Linked DNA regions of Yarrowia lipolytica. The protein of the gene in region 1 interacts with the protein of each later gene in a pairwise test. Links are inferred from orthologs where the notes say so. Each region holds a gene or a part of one and is shown on either strand. Other genes may lie near its edges.

Evidence for each region.
Region 2: the proteins of YALI1_F37998g (region 1) and YALI1_E23348g interact in binary tests that used the Saccharomyces cerevisiae proteins (3 or more experiments, as listed by UniProt). The link is inferred for Yarrowia lipolytica from reciprocal best matches to the Saccharomyces cerevisiae genes LSM7 and PAT1.
Region 3: the proteins of YALI1_F37998g (region 1) and YALI1_E33268g interact in binary tests that used the Saccharomyces cerevisiae proteins (3 or more experiments, as listed by UniProt). The link is inferred for Yarrowia lipolytica from reciprocal best matches to the Saccharomyces cerevisiae genes LSM7 and PRP4.
Region 4: the proteins of YALI1_F37998g (region 1) and YALI1_F27929g interact in binary tests that used the Saccharomyces cerevisiae proteins (3 or more experiments, as listed by UniProt). The link is inferred for Yarrowia lipolytica from reciprocal best matches to the Saccharomyces cerevisiae genes LSM7 and DHH1.

What each region holds. Positions count from the first base shown.
Region 1 is NC_090775.1:3,797,879-3,802,076, reverse strand, and holds YALI1_F37998g (uncharacterized protein), read left to right. Parts: upstream 1-2,190; coding exon 2,191-2,217; intron 2,218-2,270; coding exon 2,271-2,741; downstream 2,742-4,198. Other genes in the region: YALI1_F38013g (uncharacterized protein), read left to right, coding at 748-1,515; YALI1_F37986g (uncharacterized protein), read left to right, coding at 3,388-4,198. UniProt on the Saccharomyces cerevisiae protein: Component of LSm protein complexes, which are involved in RNA processing and may function in a chaperone-like manner. Component of the cytoplasmic LSM1-LSM7 complex which is involved in mRNA degradation by activating the decapping step.
Region 2 is NC_090774.1:2,332,698-2,338,569, forward strand, and holds YALI1_E23348g (uncharacterized protein), read left to right. Parts: upstream 1-2,133; coding exon 2,134-4,689; downstream 4,690-5,872. Other genes in the region: YALI1_E23325g (uncharacterized protein), read left to right, coding at 1-581. UniProt on the Saccharomyces cerevisiae protein: Activator of decapping that functions as a general and active mechanism of translational repression and required for P-body formation. First decay factor recruited to mRNA, at a time when the mRNA is still associated with translation factors.
Region 3 is NC_090774.1:3,324,066-3,328,738, reverse strand, and holds YALI1_E33268g (uncharacterized protein), read left to right. Parts: upstream 1-1,949; coding exon 1,950-3,308; downstream 3,309-4,673. Other genes in the region: YALI1_E33285g (uncharacterized protein), read right to left, coding at 1-215; YALI1_E33278g (uncharacterized protein), read right to left, coding at 696-723, 770-942; YALI1_E33234g (uncharacterized protein), read right to left, coding at 3,457-4,673. UniProt on the Saccharomyces cerevisiae protein: Involved in RNA splicing. Is required for the association of U4/U6 snRNP with U5 snRNP in an early step of spliceosome assembly.
Region 4 is NC_090775.1:2,789,899-2,794,923, reverse strand, and holds YALI1_F27929g (uncharacterized protein), read left to right. Parts: upstream 1-1,993; coding exon 1,994-3,562; downstream 3,563-5,025. Other genes in the region: YALI1_F27945g (uncharacterized protein), read right to left, coding at 1-391; YALI1_F27904g (uncharacterized protein), read left to right, coding at 4,488-5,025. UniProt on the Saccharomyces cerevisiae protein: ATP-dependent RNA helicase involved in mRNA turnover, and more specifically in mRNA decapping by activating the decapping enzyme DCP1.

The DNA.
Region 1 (4,198 bases):
TGCAGTCTTTCGTTAGTCTGAACGTACAGCTCGTTACACCTTTCGACAAGCAAAGTAGTACCGTAGCTTAAGAGTGGTCGGAACAGACAAACATGGCGTCTTGATGTTGAGACAGAAATCGCCTACACGCTATAACTATTATACAGACATACTTACGTTGCTCTCCTATTATAATTGTGGCGTATATGTAAAAAATGACAGAAATGTCTCTAAGAGAGCAGCCAGGCACATTGGAAGGTCCCTACGATCCATCTCAGGCCACTCAGCTCCCTGAATCTTCATAGTTCTCTGTAAGTATCCACCAAAAAGTCAAAGTGACATTGCAGGGGTGTGTTGAAGTTGGTATTTGGATACCTAACCATGGGACTGAGAAGCTCAAGGTATAGCTTTAGCACTGACCGCCCTAACCACGTCAACCAACGCGGTGATCAACAACGTTGGCTACTTGTAGTGTGCGATTCTTATGAAACACCCATTCTTCGTATGTACAATGTAGGTACCTGGAAGCAAAGCTCAACAATGCAACACATCTGTCTTGGGTGAGCATCCAAGTCCGCCGAGTCGGATAGACACCTTCCAAAACCGGCTTTACACTGCCTACCGAGGTAAGTAGACTCAAACCATAGACCTGTAGTCACCTAAACGAGCTCTTTGTTGCCTATGGGTCTGACGCACAAATTCCGTGTCTCTGCAGTAGCGGGACTCTAACTCAGCCATACCTTGTCATACAAGGTGCTGTGGGATACAATGGCATTGAATGGATACCCTGTTTCCAGGACTCTATATAAACCACCGAAATCCTCCTCTCGAATATCCAGAAAACAACTACCCTTTCTTCTCTTCTCTCTTCTATTCACTCCAATCAACACATTACCAATGGTCTCTTTCACCAAGCTCGCCGTTGCCTCCATGGCTACTCTTGCCCTCGCTGCCCCCGCTCCTGAGGAGGCTGGCCTCATCCAGATGCGACAGGTTGTCGAGGCTCACTTCGGCGGAAACAGCGAGATCGCCAAGCGATTCGTTGACGATGCTGTTGCCCTCGACGCCCGAGCTGCTCAGGACTGGATTTCTCTCTTCAACGTCTTCCAGAGCTTCACCAACGCTGGTGTATCTCTCTTCCTGAACTCCATCCAGGCTCTCAAGAACGTTTCCCCCCAGCAGGCCAACGCTGCTATCACCCAGGCCATCCTCCAGGCTAAGGGAGCTCTCAACCAGCTCATCCAGTGGCTGCAGAACTACAATGGACTTGCTGGCTGGACCAAGGTTCTCGTCAACATGTTCATCTCCACTGGCCTGAATGCCTTCATTACCAACCTTGGTCTCTTCCTGATCACTCTTTCTACTGTCATCTCTCAGAACAAGTTGGTCAACACCTTTGCCGATGACATCAAGGGCCTCATCGCTACTATCAACCAGGCCGGTAACCTGCTCGCAGACATTATCCCCGGTTTCCGACAGGATGCTTCTATGCTTGTTGGTCTTAACTCTCGACTCCAGGGTCTTCTCACCAACTAAACAATTATGCCAACCATATTGTTCAGGATGTCTTCATTTCTCAAATAACTTTAATTATAGTATTTTTTCCGTTAACAGATTTTGTTTGTGAAATTGCCTGAAACACTAAGCTCATGTAAACAAAACTAATCAATAAATGGAATACGGATGTCACATTTTGTTCGGTCTTTGTTTCTTGAACAGAAATCAATCCACTTGGTCGCCTAATGTTTGACTAATAATGGGTACAATAGCTTAATATTGTAGAACAAGCGGGAATAAAGTTGCGCCCCTGGGGTATGTACTCATAACCTAAGTCTCAGATTGAAAACGAAAAAATGGACTCCAAGATGAACGAAAAAGAAGACCCATATCATGGAGAGACAGAATATCTTTCAACTCGGAATGAGGGCTGATATTAGGAGTATTCTGGCGGGTCACCAACGGGGTTGTTGGTGTGAAGTTGAGAATTTTAGAGGGTAATCTTTCGAAAGTCATAACATCTATATAAGATATCTATGTTGATGTATTAAGGGGACGAGTAGCTTCCAAATGAGACCAGACTCGTATATATTCAGCTTACCAACTGTCGTATTATCAACACTTCACCTTCCACACCCCCAAATTAAACTTCCTGGGACTAGCTCTCTCTCATAACCTAACGCACAGGTTGACAACTCTTCATCATCATCAATAATGGACCGACACGACAACCGTGGAGGAGTGAGTATAGCGGATCGAAGGCTCAGCCATCCATTCACACGTACTAACAACAGCGACGAGGCGGCCGAGGCGGCCATGGCAACGCTGGCCATTATGGAGGACACAACCAGCACCAAAATCAGCAACACCAACAGAATCAGCAGCAGCAGAACAACCAGAACCAGGGCCAGGGCCAAGGTCAGAACCAGGGCCAGTCCAAGAAGCTGGAATTCCCCAAGCGAGAGCCCATTCTAGATCTGTCTCGATTCGAGAACAAGCGAGTGGTTGTCAAGGTCACTGGCCGAAAGATCGAGGGCACCTTAAAGGGCTGGGATCAGCTCATGAACTTGATTCTCGACGACGTCAAGGAGACCATTTACGAGGACGAGGAGAGCGAGGACTTTGCCGAGTTTGAGGGTCAAAAGGAAGGCAAGGTGCGAGAGATCGGTCTGGCGGTCATTCGAGGCCCTAACCTGCTTTCTATCTACCCTCTTGACGGAGGAGAGGGAGTTGAGGTGGAGCCCAAGCCCGAGGTCACTATTTAATTGGATAGTAATAGAGTGTATATTATGTTGTGGTGGAAGTGAGATGCTGCTGTCGTTTTTCTTAGCAATTGTAATGGGGCGCCATCAGAGGTGTACAGTATGTACTGGGATAAGTTAATGATATGTTCGGCTCGGAGCAGGTATTGAACAGTGTAATGACCCGACATACTCTTCGTACATGTACTGAATTTCTAGTTATAATCTATAAACTGCAATGGTTTCAAGTAGCTACGTGCTGTAGTGTACTGTATGTGATAGGGCTGACTACGCCATGCTCTGGGTTCACTCACACGACCCAACGCCACCCCTACTTGTAGTCTTACTACTTGTAGTCAGTAGAAACGGGGGCGTGTTTACCATTAGAATGTACAATAATGGTGCTTATCGAATGGATAAAGGGTTAATATATCGATTTCGATTAGTAATGTATCGAGCTATTGTATGCACATATTCACGCCCTCCACACACCACACACTTCCACATATTAGACTTGCCTGTCCCATGCGTGTTGGGATAATTGGCTTCACAGAACAGCGACACTCACTGATAAACAACCAGTCACACTTCTCCAGCCACCCAGCGACGGCCATACTCGAAAAGTCACTGACACACTCATGTCAAGGAATTGAACATTTCAGCAACCATAATGCAACTAGAACCTGCTCATCTTGTGTACGCCGCATTTTGGACATTTGGGTTGGTCAACAACGTGCTCTATGTGGTTATCTTGACCGCCGCAGTAGACCTGGTGGGACCTCAAACACCCAAGGCCGTGGTGTTACTGGCCGACGTACTCCCATCGTTCTTGATAAAGCTGGCAGCACCATTTTTTATCCACAAAATCCCCTATAACCGCCGAATAACATTGCTGGTTGGCCTGTCAACTGTGGGAATGATGTCTGTGTCACTAGCATCTCCTCTGTTTCTCAAACTCGTGGGAGTGGTGCTGGCTTCTTTCTCTTCCGGTCTGGGCGAGGTCACCTTTCTCCAATTAACCCATTTTTACGATACCAGGGCTCTCAATGGGTGGAGCAGCGGAACTGGAGGTGCAGGGCTAGTGGGTAGCGGGCTGTTCATGCTCTTGACCACGGTACTCGGAGTTTCAGTCAAGACGTCATTGCTTGTCTTTGCATTCTTTCCCCTGGCCTTCTTAGGAGTCTACTTCTATCTCCTTCCTCCTAGAGATTATAACCGTGTACCAGGGGCCTTCCCTGTGCACAGCAATGACCCTGAAACAGGTATTGAAACACAGCCAATCACCTGGGAGTTTGTTGCTTCTGGATACGAAACTACAATGGTCCGTTTGAAGCCGCTGGTTATGCCTTACATGCTGCCTTTGTTTCTGGTCTACTTTTCCGAGTACACCATCAACCAGGGAGTGGCACCCACACTTCTGTTTCCCATGGAAGAGTTGCCCTTTTCTAAGTTCAGAGATGTCTATGTGACCTATGGAACAC
Region 2 (5,872 bases), on another chromosome or scaffold:
TCGCCAACACCTTCATCAACGGCGAAGACGTGCCCATCAACCTGGTGTTCGAGAACAAGGAGAAGGACCCCATCTCTGTGGTGGCCGTGGGAGGCACCTTCTACGACCTCAAGACCGACAAGGTGGTGGTCAGCGTCCAGGGCACCCAGGTGGGACCCATCAAGGTCGACAGCGGCAAGACCGCGGCCCTGACCCACCAGTTCGAGACCAACCTCGATGCCAAGGTCTACCGAAACGTCATCCAGGTCTACATCCAGTACGGCAACGAGGTGTACCAGGTGCACGCCTTTGACGGCCCCGTGTCGATTGTCGACCCCTATGTTTCTCCTCTGTCTTTCAAGTTCCTGTTTGCCCAGATTGTGCTGGGAATCACCGCCGCTGCTCTGGGATACTACGTTGTTAACGTGTACGCCATCCCATACGCTACCGGCACCTACGGACAGGAGAAGAAGCCCGTTCGAGCCAAGCCTGTGGTTCCTGCTGGCTCCGGCGTCAAGACTGGACCCAAGGGCTACGATGAGAGCTGGATTCCCAAGCACCATCTCGACCAGGAGAAGGTCAAGGTGAAGAAGAGAAGTTAAGCTGAGCCATGACCAAGGTTTGCGTGACAGATTTTTTCTTTTCCAAGCACACCTGTTGGTGGCGGACGTTAATGGATTGTGACACTCGTGTTGTCTGCTGACATTGATAACTCCTGCTGTCAATAGGTGTGTCCTGGTTACTTACTTGTTGATGACACTAAATAGCTAATTTATGTTGTACGTATTGCAACAGTGAAGAGTTGCGCGGCGACTCCACCGAGCGTTTTCGGGGTTTCCGAGCAGAAAAATGGATCTATCGATACTATCCCGTATCTCCGACAACGTCTGGTTGTATATGAGACATTGTTAGTTGAATAAGATGTGGTCGTCATCTAGGAGCCTAATAATACAATATATCTGCCGTTTTGGTCGTTGGAAGGCGGGAGTATGTCGAGGGACTGGTAGCTGGTGTTGAGGAGATTGTTTTGGTCAACTGTTTGCTTGATTTGGTCAAGTTTTGGTGTTGTGGTTGGTTGGTGGTGGAGATAGAACCAGTCATGAGGTTGTTGGAGGCTTTAGATGGCGCAAGTGTCTGGAAGGAGGAGTTGATAGTATTGATTTTGTATTGGCTGATTAATTCCATTGACGGATGCTATAACAATGAGTAATCAAGTCCTGAGAGTCTCTTCTTAGTCATGGCATTGTTGTGTGGAGGGACAGATGGAGCTGCAACAGATATATTACTCAACATGTTGAAGATGTTGCCAAAGGTGCTCAGATGTCGCCAAAAGGTGCTTCAGATGTCGCCCAAAGGTGCTTCAGATGTCGAATGTTCCTCCTGTCCACATCTCTGACAATCTGCGATGTCTTATTCACCAGTTGTAACAGATGCGACATGAGAAAGTTCCTCTCTAGCACTCTCTAGGCTAGTTATTCCATATTGAACATCTTCCGACATGTTTTTGTCGATTCTGTCGATTCTGTCGGTTACTTCTTCTGGACTCACTCTAGAAGCTAAGTAAATGTCAACTCCATCTGTCCACATATTAACCAAAAAACGTCTTTCTGTACCCCATACTGTCAATATTATTACACATTTGTTAAAAAATGAGCCATTTCCTATCATTTAATCCACTTTCAGCGTTGCTCAGGTTCCTGTAACCCCGAAATAGCACCCCCAGCACACGTTTTTTCTCAATTGTTCTTTCAACTAAATCAAACTTGCATTATGTAATACAAAAAACACCACTCACTCATGGACTCGTCCGGGTAAGTCGTCTCCCAAATTTGCCAGAGCCACTCAAAGTTTGAGAGTTTATTTTGTATGACAGATCCGCCATGGAAATCTAGCCAGTCAGTATAAACAGGTAACCGAAGGATTTTTTGCGCCGTTAAAGAAATTTATTGGGTATTTTTGCCACTCTCTCGAACCTCCAATTTCTCCTCTCTCGCTATCTCTTCTCAATCGCCCAACAAAGGCACCCTTCTTTCCACATCCTCCTACCCCCCCTCCTACCCTAACCCAAAATCGCACCGTAGTAGTGTCCTCTTGTCACCTCTACACATCTCAGTACACTACACCGACACCAAGACTCTCGACTCTCTCTTCGACATGTCTTTCTTCGGTATCGCACAGCCCAATCAGGGCAACGTGCAGGAGTACGAATTCGACGACACGTACGACGACAATCTTGGCGGACAGCTGGATGAGTCTGGCGACGCCTTCAACGACGAGACGTTTGGCGGCGAGGCGTCTGTGGGCCGGGATTTCGACTTCCACGGCGAAACGGCCAAAATCTCGTACGCCATTGACGAGGACCAGGTTGCCTACGAACGCCGGGCGCCTCAGCACGCCCAGATGCAGCACCAGCAGCAGCAGCATCAGCAGCGACAAGCTCCCCCTTCTCTGCAGCCCATGGCGTCTCTGTGGGGCGCTCCCGACCAGAAGGAGCGAATCATGGGCGACGAGGCCCAGCACGGCGGCCAGCAGGCCCAGCAGGCTCACCTGCAGCAGCAGCAGCACTACCAGCATGTTGCTGCCCAGCAGGGCGGTCAGCAGCCTCTGTCTCTGGAGCAGATTGAGGCGCAGCTGATGGGTCGACAGGCCCAGGCCCAGGGCCAGCAGCAGCAGCAGCAGCAACACGGTGTGCCTCCCCAGGGTCACGCTCCTCCTCAGGGCCACTTTCCTCCCGGGTACGGCTACCAGGGCTTCCCTCCTGGTTACCCTCCTCCCCAGGGACACCCCATGCAGTACCAGCAGCCCTGGCAGTTCCCTCCCCTGCCCAACCATGATCTCAACATGCAGATGATGATGCACTACCAGCAGCAGCAGCAGCAGCAGCAGGGACAGGGACAGTTCCAGCAGCCTCAGTTCCAGGGACAATCTCAGGGTCAGCCCCAGGTTCAGGTTCAGCAGCAGCAGCAGCAGCAGCAGCAGCCCCAGGCTCAGACTCAGGGTCAGCCCCCCGCTGTCGCTTCTCAGCCTGCTTCTCAGCAGCAAGCTGCCCCTCCTACCGCGCCCCTGGGCCCCAAGGAGGACAAGGCCATCCCTACCGCTCCTCAGGGCTTCCAGGGCCCTCCCCACTCGGGTCCCTACGGCTACCAGCCCGGCCCCGTGCACGTATCGCCCAACCACACGATCCCTCCCATGGATGAGAACGCGCGACTGGCCAAGCGAAATGAGATGATCAGCAAGCGAAAGCCACACAACAATCTCATGACCGGCGGTGACAAGGACTTTGTGCTGCGAGTCCAGCTCCAGCAGATGGTCACCGAGGACCCTTACAACGAGGACTTTTACTACCAGGTGCACTCGGCCATCAACGTGCGATCCAACCCCAACCAGCCGCTCGACGCCTTTGCGCGAACGTACCTGTACCAGCGGGGTCAGCGGGGCCGACGGGCCCGCGGCAACGAGAACGGCCTGCAACGTCTGCAGCAGCAGGTCCACAAGGCCGTGCAGTTTGTCAAGGACCACCCCAAGAAGGACTCCATTATCTCCCAGGGTGCTCTCGGTAAGATTCACCTTGGCAGCAACAAGGGTCCTCGACAGGCTCTCGACCTGCGAAAACGAGATGATACTCCCGACGCCGACAACTCTACTGAGGCTCCTACTGAGGGAGTTTCTGCCACCCCCGAACTTCGATCTGCTACCCCCGTGGCCACCACCACCACCACCACCGATGCCATTCGATCCATCACCACGTCAATCTCCAAGTTCAACCTTCAGGGCGGCTCGTACGTGTCTGCTAACGACAAGCGAGGTATTCTGCGGGCCATTGAGAACGTGTACATTGTGCTGCTACGTCTGGAGGCTGCAGAGAGAACCCAGCCCGAAGACGACCTGTCCGACGAGTTCCAGGTGTGGAAGGGAGAAAAAGACGCGCTGGTGACCCAGCTGTGGCGTGAGCTGCAGATTACTGCGCCCATCGACCAGGCCGACGGCTCGCTGCACCCCTTCATTGCCATGCTCTCGCATGCCAAGTGCAAGAAGGCCATTCCCCGAGTTTTCCGGCATATTTCTGCCGAGCAGCGGCTCACCATTCTGACCATGATCATGGCCCACATTGGCGATTTGGACGTGGTCAAGAATGGCCACTACAGCGGCGAGGAGTCGAACCTGCCCGCCAAGTCGCGGGAGGCCATTGAGGTCTTCTCTCAGACCGTCCTTCCTCCTCTGGTGCAGTACATTTCTGAGGCCGAGTACGGCGTCATTGTGGGTCTGCTGGAGTTGATGATGGATCGAAATGACACTGCTGCTGTTGTCAAGACCAAGGTTGGATCTGCATTTGTGACTGTTTTGATTTCCCGGGCCGAGCTGATCAACCAGGAGGGCTCTGTTTCTGCCGAAGATGAGGAGACCTGGAACCGCATTTTCAACCGTGTTTTCGGCATTGTTCAGCGCAACAATCTCAACTCCCTGTTCCCTCCTCGAAATGTGGACGATTCTTACGTGTGGCAGTTCCTGGCGTCCATCGCCTTGGCTGCGAAGATTGATCACCAACGTGTTATGGTTGACGATGTGCGGGACAAGATCTTTGGTACTATGAACGAGGCCAAGGCTCTTCCGCCAGATCTGTCGCAGCAGAAGATTAACAATCTGAACCTGTTCCTTAACGTCATGGGTCTCAATGCGACCACTTCGGAGATTGGTGAGTTGCAGGGGTGATTAGATGAGGGAGCAGTGGTTATGTAAAATAGGATTTTTGAGAAAAAGATGATTTGACCGTTTGACCGTGGTGAGCGTGTTAGATAGATAGGAGACGAGACTGCGTAGGGGCTCAGTGGAAAAGTTCATGATAGACATTGTGGAAGTGGTAGTACAACTAGACGGCGGCACGAAGGTACCGGACTGGCGTGGGAACTGGTTGGGAACCGGGGTCCCGAACTCAAGACTCTTCCAGTCTAGATTCAGAGTCGTCAACCAGGCTTCGAAGATATCCATTAGGGAGCATTTTGAAGAGTGCTGACATGGTATTGGCCTTTGATCTAGCGAAACATCTTTGGGCAAGGTCCATGAAGAGCACTGATGGTTACGCTCCAGGTCGACGGATGATGGCTACGGGACCCAGGATGCTCTGGTATGAGCACGAGGAAAAGGGAGCAGCAACTTCTGAGGTGTTTTGTCAACTTCTTGAGGTTTGTCAACTTTGAGAGTGTTTGTCAACTTCTGAGGTGTTTGGTCAACTTCTGAGCTCTGGAATCAGCAGCTTCATCCGTCATCTTCTCCAAGTCGCACGGTGGATAACTTCGGGAAGATCACTTGCAGTTGTTCTGAGGACAAATATCGATTGCTGTTGGATTGTGGATTATTCTTGTCAACTATTCAGCCATTGCTCGATCTACTTGGATCTACGTGGCTCCTCTACAGTCCATACAGTAGTGTAATCTCTGCCGAGGGGTTCTCATCATACTGTAGTCGGCTACATGATGTTGGAGTAGATACAGTCAGTACAATACAATAAAGGGCCAGCGACTGAAGTGACTGGATTGGTTGTTGCTACAAGTCCAATTTGAGAAACTACTGCCTTTATTCACGTGGTTCGTGGATCCGGTGATCCCGGTTGTATTCGTCCTTGTAGCTTGACAGACATATCTTTACAACTGGCTCTCGCAGCCCCACATTGCCGCCAGTTTTGGACGATTCAAGTTGATATACCGATTATAATGGCCGTTTGAAACTTGATGGTCTCTTCCGATTTCGAATCGGGTGTGTGTTTCGTTTGTTAGAGTCGGAACGTCTGTCTTTTGTAGCGCATTGCACTCTACGTACAGTATCCTCCAGACAGCTGTTGCTAACCCCCCCTCTCCCCGGGTGAAACTGCTACTGGTCAGAACACTCGTCTGCTCCA
Region 3 (4,673 bases), on another chromosome or scaffold:
ACATCGGGATGAAGCTGGTTCGCCACTGTGAACTGGGAGAATGCCTCGGATTGCAGGTCTGTGAGCTCCTTACCTCCGTGGTAGACAGCTCCACTTACACGACCCTTTTCCCAGAAGGTTCGCTTCATATCGTGGTACTTAGACATCTCAGTGATGACCTCTGTGTTGGTCATACCTTCAGCAGGGAGAGTCCCAAAGATTTGGGTGCCGGGCATTCGGACGATAATGTCGTTCTGGATCTTCTCAATCACAACCCCTGTCTCCTTGTCAATCTTAGCCTTGATGAAGGGAATGTCGAGAATCTTTTTGGTCACTTTTCTGGCATGGAAACGGAATGTGTTTTGAAGTCCATCAGCAAAGATGGTGTGAATAAAAGAAAGGAAGTTGCCAAGGGCTGTGAGAATGACGCTGAGTTAGTATATACATGGCTGGGTTGCTCTAGCTCATCGTTTCCAGATCAAATCACATGAACAGCGAGTAGCTGTTAATTGTATGTCGTAGCTAACATATGATGACTGATATCATGTCCGTGTGCTCCCGGTCGGACGGTCGGATGTACGGCCAAGAGAAGCCTCTGTGAATAATTGCTCCAAGATCTCATGGGTAAAACGTCGTGAGTGTCATGGCGTCAATGGTATCTCTGTAAGATCGCCTTTTACTTGTGTCGTTTTGATTCTCAATGGGACCGTGTATACTCACACAATAAATACCGCATCTCGAAATCTGGGTTAGTAGTACTCAAACAGTCTCATCCTTCGCTTATTCTCACTTTTCATAGGTAGTGGCATTCTGGAAATGCTCAATTACCTCAGCCCTCACGCAGTCGTGCTTCGAATGAAGGTAAGCGACCGGAGAAGCCTGGAACTCGTGGTAGTGCTGATGCAACAGGGCATGGAGCTCGTGGACGCATTTCTGCAGACACTCCAAGTGGGGGATCGCCATTGTTGTGTTTCTGTGGTGTTGGTGTTGGTGTGCAACAAGAGAAGAAATTGTGGGGGTTATAGACAGGTGCACTTGTGTGTCGGATGCTTACTGCCTGTGGTCTGTAGTGAATGTAGCCACTTTAGCTTTCGAAGCTGCATCTAGATATCAGGAGGTGAGATATTAACTCCGGGGAATGCATGGATGCGGTTGTCAGCGGGGTTTATTAAACACACCATTGATGGGCGCCAACGGTTGGGGCTTGGAAGAGATTCTTTCTTAACAGAATTTCCTATATATTGAATGCCTTCCGGCAACTCAAACATCCTTCCTCCCCCTTCTTTGCACTTTATAACTCCTCCACACTGAAATAGCCTCAACACATTCCGTTTAAACTTGCTTAGGCGATCTACTGCGTCTTATTATTATTGGCATCTGAGAGCTAATAGCGAGCGATGATTGAGGTATTAGGAGAGGCCAAACTAAACACAAGTTACGTGAGGCTCTGAAGCTATTTCTATGCCCGCATTATTCGTTTCAGTAGCTCTTTTTCTATCACTTTATCATTCTATAGTTGTATCCTGTTCCCACATTCTCCGCACTTTCGCTTTTAGAGCTAAACTCCGAACGAGTTTTTTATCATTCATGTGAAGGGAAGGTAGGCGGAGGTCAGTATATCGAAGCAGCATGTGGAGTCGCCTGCGTGTTGTTGTTTTTTCCAAAGTCGATTTTTCTGTAAATATCGCCACCATCTTCATCAGCTATTATCTAAACAGAGCTACAAGTAGTGAATAATATCCACAGTTATGGGGATCGAACAGGCAGGAGCTGCAAGAAACTCATAACCTGTGGTTAATAAGTGGCCGATATTTCTTGCTCTCTAGCTGCAAATCTGAACAACCCTGACCTTACAATAGTTTATTCGGGCCTTTCACTCATTGCATAATCCTGCTTTAGCACTCCATATCGCTTTAGTAATCAAATGTATCAATTCTGCACCTCCCAACCTAATTGTCTTCATCACCAACATGGAACTTGTGGATCTGGAGTCGATCAAGACGACGGTGGACTCTTCTTCAGTTCGGGAAGAGGCCGTTGCGGCCCGTCAGCTGTTGGAAAAACAACGTCGAGCTGATATTCTCAAAAAACTGCATGTTCCTACAGACGATAAGGATGTTAGAGCGAAACTACGATCGTTGAATGAGCCCATTACTCTTTTCGCAGAAGACAAAGCTGATCGACGGACCCGTCTGGGTCAGCTAATGGTGGACGAGTTTGATCGGGAAGGTCTGCAGGACGAAGAGAGCGATTCTGACGTTTCTATGGACGACGACGAGTTTTTTACGCCAGGAAGTGAAGAGTTGCTTGATGCAAGGAGGCAGATAACAAACGACAGTATCTTGAGAGCAAGGGACCGACTCACGACACAAAAGCAACAGTCGGAATTGTCCCTGGTGGAGACAGTTAACCTACGACGAGATAAGATGGCCCCTATAGAGCAGTATCAGCTTCTGGGATCACAGTTCGTTTCCACACGTCCAGCAGGGGCCGTGGCTTTTGGAAGCGACTCTATACTGGCTGCATCATCGTGGAACGGCGAGATCAAGCTAATGGATGTACCGAATCTGAATACCAAGGCTGTGTTGAGAGGGCACGTGGATAAAGTAAGTGCTTTGAAATGGGCACGTAATATCTTGCTGAGTGGATGTGGAGAGGGAAAGCTGCTGTTCTGGGATTCCAGCACAGAAGGCAACGAACATACTGCATACAGAACGGTGTCTGAAGCCCACAAGGGCCGTATCGCAGGTCTAGACGTTCATCCAAGCGGGCAGTGGGCTGCTACCGCGTCCTATGACTACACCTGGGCTCTGTGGGACATTGAGAGCGGTACCAAGCTGTTGTCTCAAGAAGGACACTCTAAGGGTGTCCACTCTGTGGCCTTCCACCCGGATGGAGCTCTAGTAGCCTCTGCTGGCTTGGATGCAGTAGGCAGAGTGTGGGATATGCGATCTGGACGAAGTATTCAGACTCTGGAAGGCCATATCCGAGAGATATACAGTCTGGGATGGTCTGGTAACGGGTTCTATCTTGCATCTGGATCTGCTGACGGATCTGTCAGAATATGGGATCTGCGTGCTCAAAAATGTTCCCACACAATCCCTGCACATACAAAGATTGTGTCGAGTGTTCAGTTTGACAAGTCGGGCTCATTTCTCGCATCTACGGGATACGATGGCGACTTTAACATCTGGAATGCCGATTCGTGGACCCTGGCTAAAAGGTGGAAGACGCAAGACCGAATCATGGGCATGGATTTGGGACCTGGAAACGAGTACTTCGCCACCTGTGGCTGGGATCGAACAGTGAAGTTGTGGTGCAAGGAGTAGGCGTTGAAGGGGTAGGAACACATACCGTATCGGTAATATATTGCATTCAAACTACAAGTACTTGTAAGTAAAAATAGAACCACTCAATCCGTCAGTAATTAATTAAACCTCCTATAATACATAATATATTTCATCATTCGTCATCCGTCTACTCTGACTGCGTATTAGGTCCATCGGCAGGAGAAAGAGCTCGTCTAGGAACCGAGCTCGATCTCACACCGTACCTCGCACGTGATGTCTTGGGAGCTGCCTCGCTCTGTCTCTTGAGCTGCTCCTCCAAGTTCTCCACCTTAACCTTGAGCTCTGCAATCTCCGAATCCCGAATTTCTCGCTCTTCGTCGAATGTGAGCTTTCTGAGGGCAGAAAACTCACCATCGGCACGCTGGTTGGCCTCAGCCAGCTCGGTTGTAAGCAATCCCACCTTCGCCAACGCCTCGGACGCGCTCTCGGATGCCTTTTGGTATTCGGAACGCATGTAGTCATTCTCATTGGACCGAGCATCAGCAGTAGCATTGGCCTTTTGCAGGCTCGTCTTCAGCGCCTGAATCTCCTCCTGCTGTTTGGTTTTGATGTCTGCGTCCTCTCCAGAAGCCAAAATAGCCTTCAGAGAAGCAACCTCATCCTGCAATCGAACAACTGCCTCCTCTTTTCGAACCGCATCTGATTCTCCTCGTTCGATCTTTCGCTCCAGCTTGCCAATAGTCTCCTCGAAGGACGCGTGTTGACGCACCTGACGCGCAATCTCGTCCTGTTGAGACTCCATTTTGAGCTGCTGCGTAGTTGCGAGCTTCCTGTGCGACTCGATTTCCGACACTAGTTGCCGTTCTCGGCCAACAAGCGAGTTGTATTGCTCCAGAAGCCCCTGTGTCAAACCTGTCCATCGACCATGTGCATAATCGTGTGGAGGAGCAAAGTGGTCTGCGCTGATAGGGTCCAGCTTGTACCGCTTAGAAGGCTGAGAAGAATTGTCCGTAGGGTCATTGGCGGTTCCAGGAATGGCCGATCGACGATGATACGACGAGGCCATTGAGGTCTCCACGTCCAATTTGGAGTACCCGGAAATGGGTGCTAGATCGGGAAGTGGCCAAGGAAGAGACAAATCGGCAAACCAGTAGGCCAATGGCTGAAGCTGCTGCAGGTACAACGACTTCATCTCAGCGGGGATTGTTCCAGATTTGTCTCTCAGCACCACTAGAGCTGCAATCACCTCTTCCGTAAACACTCTATCGGGGTTAGCAGTGAGTCCAAAGCTGTATGCGACATGCTCAGCAGAGAGGTTTGATACCAGACGCAACACGGGAGCGGGAATGTTCCTCTTGTGCATCCGTAGAGCCTCCACATGCACCTCTGCTGGGTTGAACGTGC
Region 4 (5,025 bases), about 1.0 Mb from region 1:
ACTCGTGCATAATGTGCAGCTCCCGCAAAATCTGGCGTCGCACGGCCTCCTTTGCCTCGATATGGATCACCTTCTTGGCCATGACGGCACCAGTGGGGATGTGTTCCACCCGGGAGACGGACCCGCCGTTGCCTGCGCCCAGCTCCTGTATGGTGCGCAGATCCTGAGCCCGGATGTCGATTTTGAACTCCACGCCCAGCTCCAGCGATGCCATTTGGCTTATCAGGTTGCCTGCTGAGGGCGCTCTCTGGAGCGTGGGTTTGTCGAGGGTGAAGGGCTGTGATGGCGGAGGGGAAGCTGTTGCCTGGGGCGCCACTCCGGCGTCGGCGTTGAGTGACAGCTTCTTGAAGTTTTTGCGCTTCAGCGTCTTGGGTTTGAGGTCGACAGACATGTTCACACGATGGACAATGTACCGTTTTTATCGGTCTATTGTCTGGCAGGTTGAAGGTTGTGGTTTTACCGTACGTTGGGAGAGACGCTACGCGTTGGCGATGCGCTTGGTGCAGACCTTGGCCGAATGGGGAAGTGGTTGTGGATGGATGGGGTGTGGGTGCAAAAGGCTACAAGTAGGGGGGTTGGGGCATGTGGCTTGATATATATATATCGGAGTTAATTATTTTGTGCAAGTTGCCAGGTGGCCGGGACAAATGGGGCAACGACGATCTCTGAACACAAGAGTCCACACACATCTGTATCGTTCCGGCACCAGTAGCTACTCTGCCATCGCTCAGCTCATGCCACTACGATACTTATACTTGGAGCTAACCTTGATTGAAAATGGGAGGGCAATTTCCGAGGTAATACCACCCACGTACAGTATGTACTCTTGACGCCGTGACCTTGGCCCACATTCGAGCTGCACTGCACTGCCTGAACCGGACGAGAGAGTCCAAATGGGCCGTCGTTATGGTTGGGTATGAGACTTGGAACACTGGAAGCAGTGTTTCGATGTGTTTGGTGGGAGGTATCAGCGTTCTGTTGTCGATGTGGATCAGTGATACTAAAGTAATCACACTTGTACTTTTAGCTTAGATGGGTGACAAAATGGTGATTTCTAGCGCGTACAAGTATCGCGATGTACTTCTCTCTGCTAGCTGATGAAGAGACAGCATCTGTGACCACTGTACCGACAGTATCTGCGACTACAAGTATCTGTTCAGCACACATGCTCGTACCGTACAAGTACACCTTTCTATACCTTCGATGAGGTTCGCGTGGATAATTTAATGGAAGTATATCTGTTTTGCTGAAGGGGGAAATGGGCTGCGTGTGTGGGAGCAATATTACATACATCTGACTGTTCAGACGTTGGACGAGACAGTCATAATATGTGCCCCATTACAGGTTGAGGTGAAGCGCGTGTATGGGGGAAAACCAGCGGATGATCGTCCCATCTTCGTCATTTCACTCGTTTACACTACAAGTGATATCTTCACTCATTCTCTGCTCTGCTCCTCTCCAAGCCACCGTCGTGCCCAGACAAAGTTCGTCAACCGGGTAAGTGGCGAGCTGTAATAGGTGTGCAGGTGAGGATAGAGACAGAAAAGGGTTACGACAGCAAAAAAACAGAGGGAGCCAGCAAAATGACAAACGTGGAAAAGAGAGATAACAAAAAAAGGACCTCTTTATATAACTACGTAGCAAACCAACACCACATTCTCCATGTCAAGGTGGCCTGGAGTCCTCCTCCCCACGGTCACGGACACTCCAACTTACCCTTCCCAATGAATCCACACCCCAGTAAAGTTTTCAATACACCCACAACCAGCCGACAATCTCTTCTTTCTCCCCTACCTCCAATACAGCCAACTGTTTTATTGCCATCCATCACAGAACACCAGAACACAAACATATCTGGAGTTTTCTAATCGACAATTGACACCTACACTGTTCCATCGCAGGTCCCTACTTCTGAGTTTCCGGATATCCATACTTCCCGTTTGCCCACGACACGCACCACGACACCGCACCACCCCACATTTTACACAAAAACATGTCTGAGTGGAAAGAGTCGTTAAACGTGCCCAAAAAGGACACGCGTCACAAAACCGAAGATGTGACCGCCACAAAGGGTACAGGGTTCGAGGACTTTTTCCTCAAACGAGAGCTGCTCATGGGCATCTTTGAAGCAGGATTCGAAAACCCCTCGCCCATTCAGGAAGAGGCGATCCCCATTGCCCTCGCAGGCCGAGATATTCTGGCCCGAGCCAAGAACGGAACCGGCAAGACCGCCGCGTTTGTGATCCCAGCCCTCCAGCAGGTCAACCCCAAAGTTAACAAGATCCAGGCGCTTATCATGGTGCCCACCCGAGAGCTGGCACTCCAGACCTCACAGGTTTGCAAGACCCTAGGCAAGCATCTTGGCATCAAGGTCATGGTCACCACCGGTGGCACCAACCTCAGAGACGACATTATGCGTCTGGAAGACACGGTACACGTGTTGGTCGGCACTCCCGGCCGAGTGCTGGATCTAGCAGGAAAGGGCGTCGCTGATCTCAGCGAGTCGCCCATGTTTATTATGGACGAGGCCGACAAGTTGCTGTCGCCGGACTTCACACCCATCATCGAGCAGGTGCTCCATTTCTTCCCTGAGGACCGTCAGATCCTGCTCTTCTCCGCCACCTTCCCTCTGACTGTCAAGGCCTTTATGGACCGAAACCTGCACAAGCCTTACGAAATCAACCTGATGGACGAGCTGACCCTAAGAGGTATCACGCAGTACTACGCCTTTGTCGACGAGAAACAGAAGCTGCATTGTCTCAACACGCTCTTTTCTAAGCTCGACATCAACCAGTCCATCATTTTCTGCAACTCCACTGTGCGAGTTGAGCTACTTGCCCGAAAGATCACTGAGCTGGGATACTCATGTTACTACTCCCACGCCAAGATGATCCAGAGCCATCGAAACCGAGTCTTCCATGAGTTCCGAAACGGCACGTGCCGAAACCTCGTCTGTTCCGATTTGCTTACCCGAGGTATCGATATCCAGGCCGTCAACGTGGTCATCAACTTTGACTTCCCTAAGAACGCCGAGACCTATCTCCATCGAATTGGTCGATCTGGACGATTTGGCCATCTCGGTATTGCCATCAACCTCATTAACTGGAACGACCGATACAACCTGTACAAGATTGAGCAGGAACTTGGAACTGAGATCAAGCCCATCCCTGCCCAGATCGACAAGAACCTCTACGTTGCCGAGTCCAGCGAGAACATCCCCCGACCCTTCCCCATTGCTGATATGCCTCGAGGCAAGGAGAGTAAGCGAAACGAGCAATTCCAGCCCCAGCAGAACCAGAACCAGCAGCAGCAACAGGACGGTCAAAACCAGCACTCTCTGGGTCCCGTACCTCCCCAGGGTCCTCCTCAGGGCATTCCCGGCCCCGGATACGGCTACCCTCCTCCTCAGGGCTTCCCTCAGGGAATGCCTCCTCAGGGAATGCCTCCTCAGGGAGCCGGCGGCTACATGCCCCCTACTCCCTATGGTTACCAGCAGCAGGGCTTCCCTCCTCAGCCGCCACAGGGCTTCAACAATGGCCAGCCCCAGCAGCCGTCGCAGTAAGAACGCGAGCCTGAAAAAAGCGATTACAATCTTCCTTTGGTTTTTTGTGTACGGTTTTTGTGGGTTATCTTTCCCACTTTCCGCCATATTTTTCCAACCCTTTTTTTTTGACCTTTTTTTCGTCTCTGGGGTATATAGCAATATGATATTCTAGTTGGTGACTGATGAAACGTTGTACTGTAGCTACAAGTGTGGTTCAGTCGAATGCCGTGGGTACCCGAACATGTATAAGTAAGATCATGGCTCTGGTACGGCTACTGTAAAAGTCTATCTCCAGAAATGCATGAAATGTATCCTGGGCCACTGCGAGAAGCATGGGACCCGAGTAGACCGTGTGCGCGAGATCTATTGCAGGTGCAGCCAATACGTGAGTCACGGTCGCTCTGTAGAGTGTAGATTGGTTTTGTATCTTTGGTGTAAGCCGCTTACCAGGATGCTACAAGTAGGGTAGTCTTGTGTCAGATCAAAATGTGTGGCTGCTCTGTGCCAAAAATTTGACTACTAAGCTTTTGGGATTGGGTATGACTTATTGGCCATCATTCGTGAGTGAAGCATTTTTACTGTCTGGGGACACTGCAGAGCTATGCAGAATTAGTAGTGGAGAATGCCTACTGGTGCTGTTGCGGGCATTAGGGGGGATGAGGTACGATGTAGGGATAGGTCCGGGCAGGGACTTGCATTAATTGGTCTACAATGTAGGGCGTCGAATCTGGGTAAAAACACACCGAGTATGTGTACGTACATGCCCATGGCCATTGGTGCCTATGGACCCGAGTTACTGACAACGGGTGTCTGTTGCAAAGTGTGAAGCTTAAAAAATATTTTTAATTCGAAAATGGTATCGACGTGCTAAAAGCTCTTTCTACTAACGTCCAGTGTTCACCACCCCACCCACAACACCCCCCCACATCACCCACACACAATCATGAGCCTTCGAATTCTGCTGGTTGGCAACGGTGGCCGAGAGCACGCCCTTGCATGGAAGCTGGCTCAGTCTCCTCTGGTGGAGCGAATCTTTGTTGCCCCCGGAAACGGAGGAACCGACAACCCCCAGGGAAAGATCGAGAACATTGCGATTGGCTCTTCCCAGAAGGACTTCGCCAAGCTCGTCGAGTTTGCCCAGTCCAAGGATGTTGGTCTCGTCATTCCCGGTCCCGAACAGCCTCTGGTCGAGGGAATTGAGACCCACTTCCGAAAGGTTGGTATCCCCGTCTTTGGCCCTTCTGAGAAGGCTGCCGTCATGGAGGGCTCCAAGACTTTCTCCAAGGACTTCATGAAGAAGCACAACATCCCCACCGCCGCGTTTGAGAACTTCACTGACTACAACAAGGCCGTGGACTACGTCAAGAAGGTGGGCCACCGAGTCGTAATCAAGGCTTCTGGTCTGGCTGCAGGCAAGGGCGTGCTCATTCCCACCTCCACCGAGGAGGCCATTGCCGCCGTCAAGGAGGTTATGCAGGACA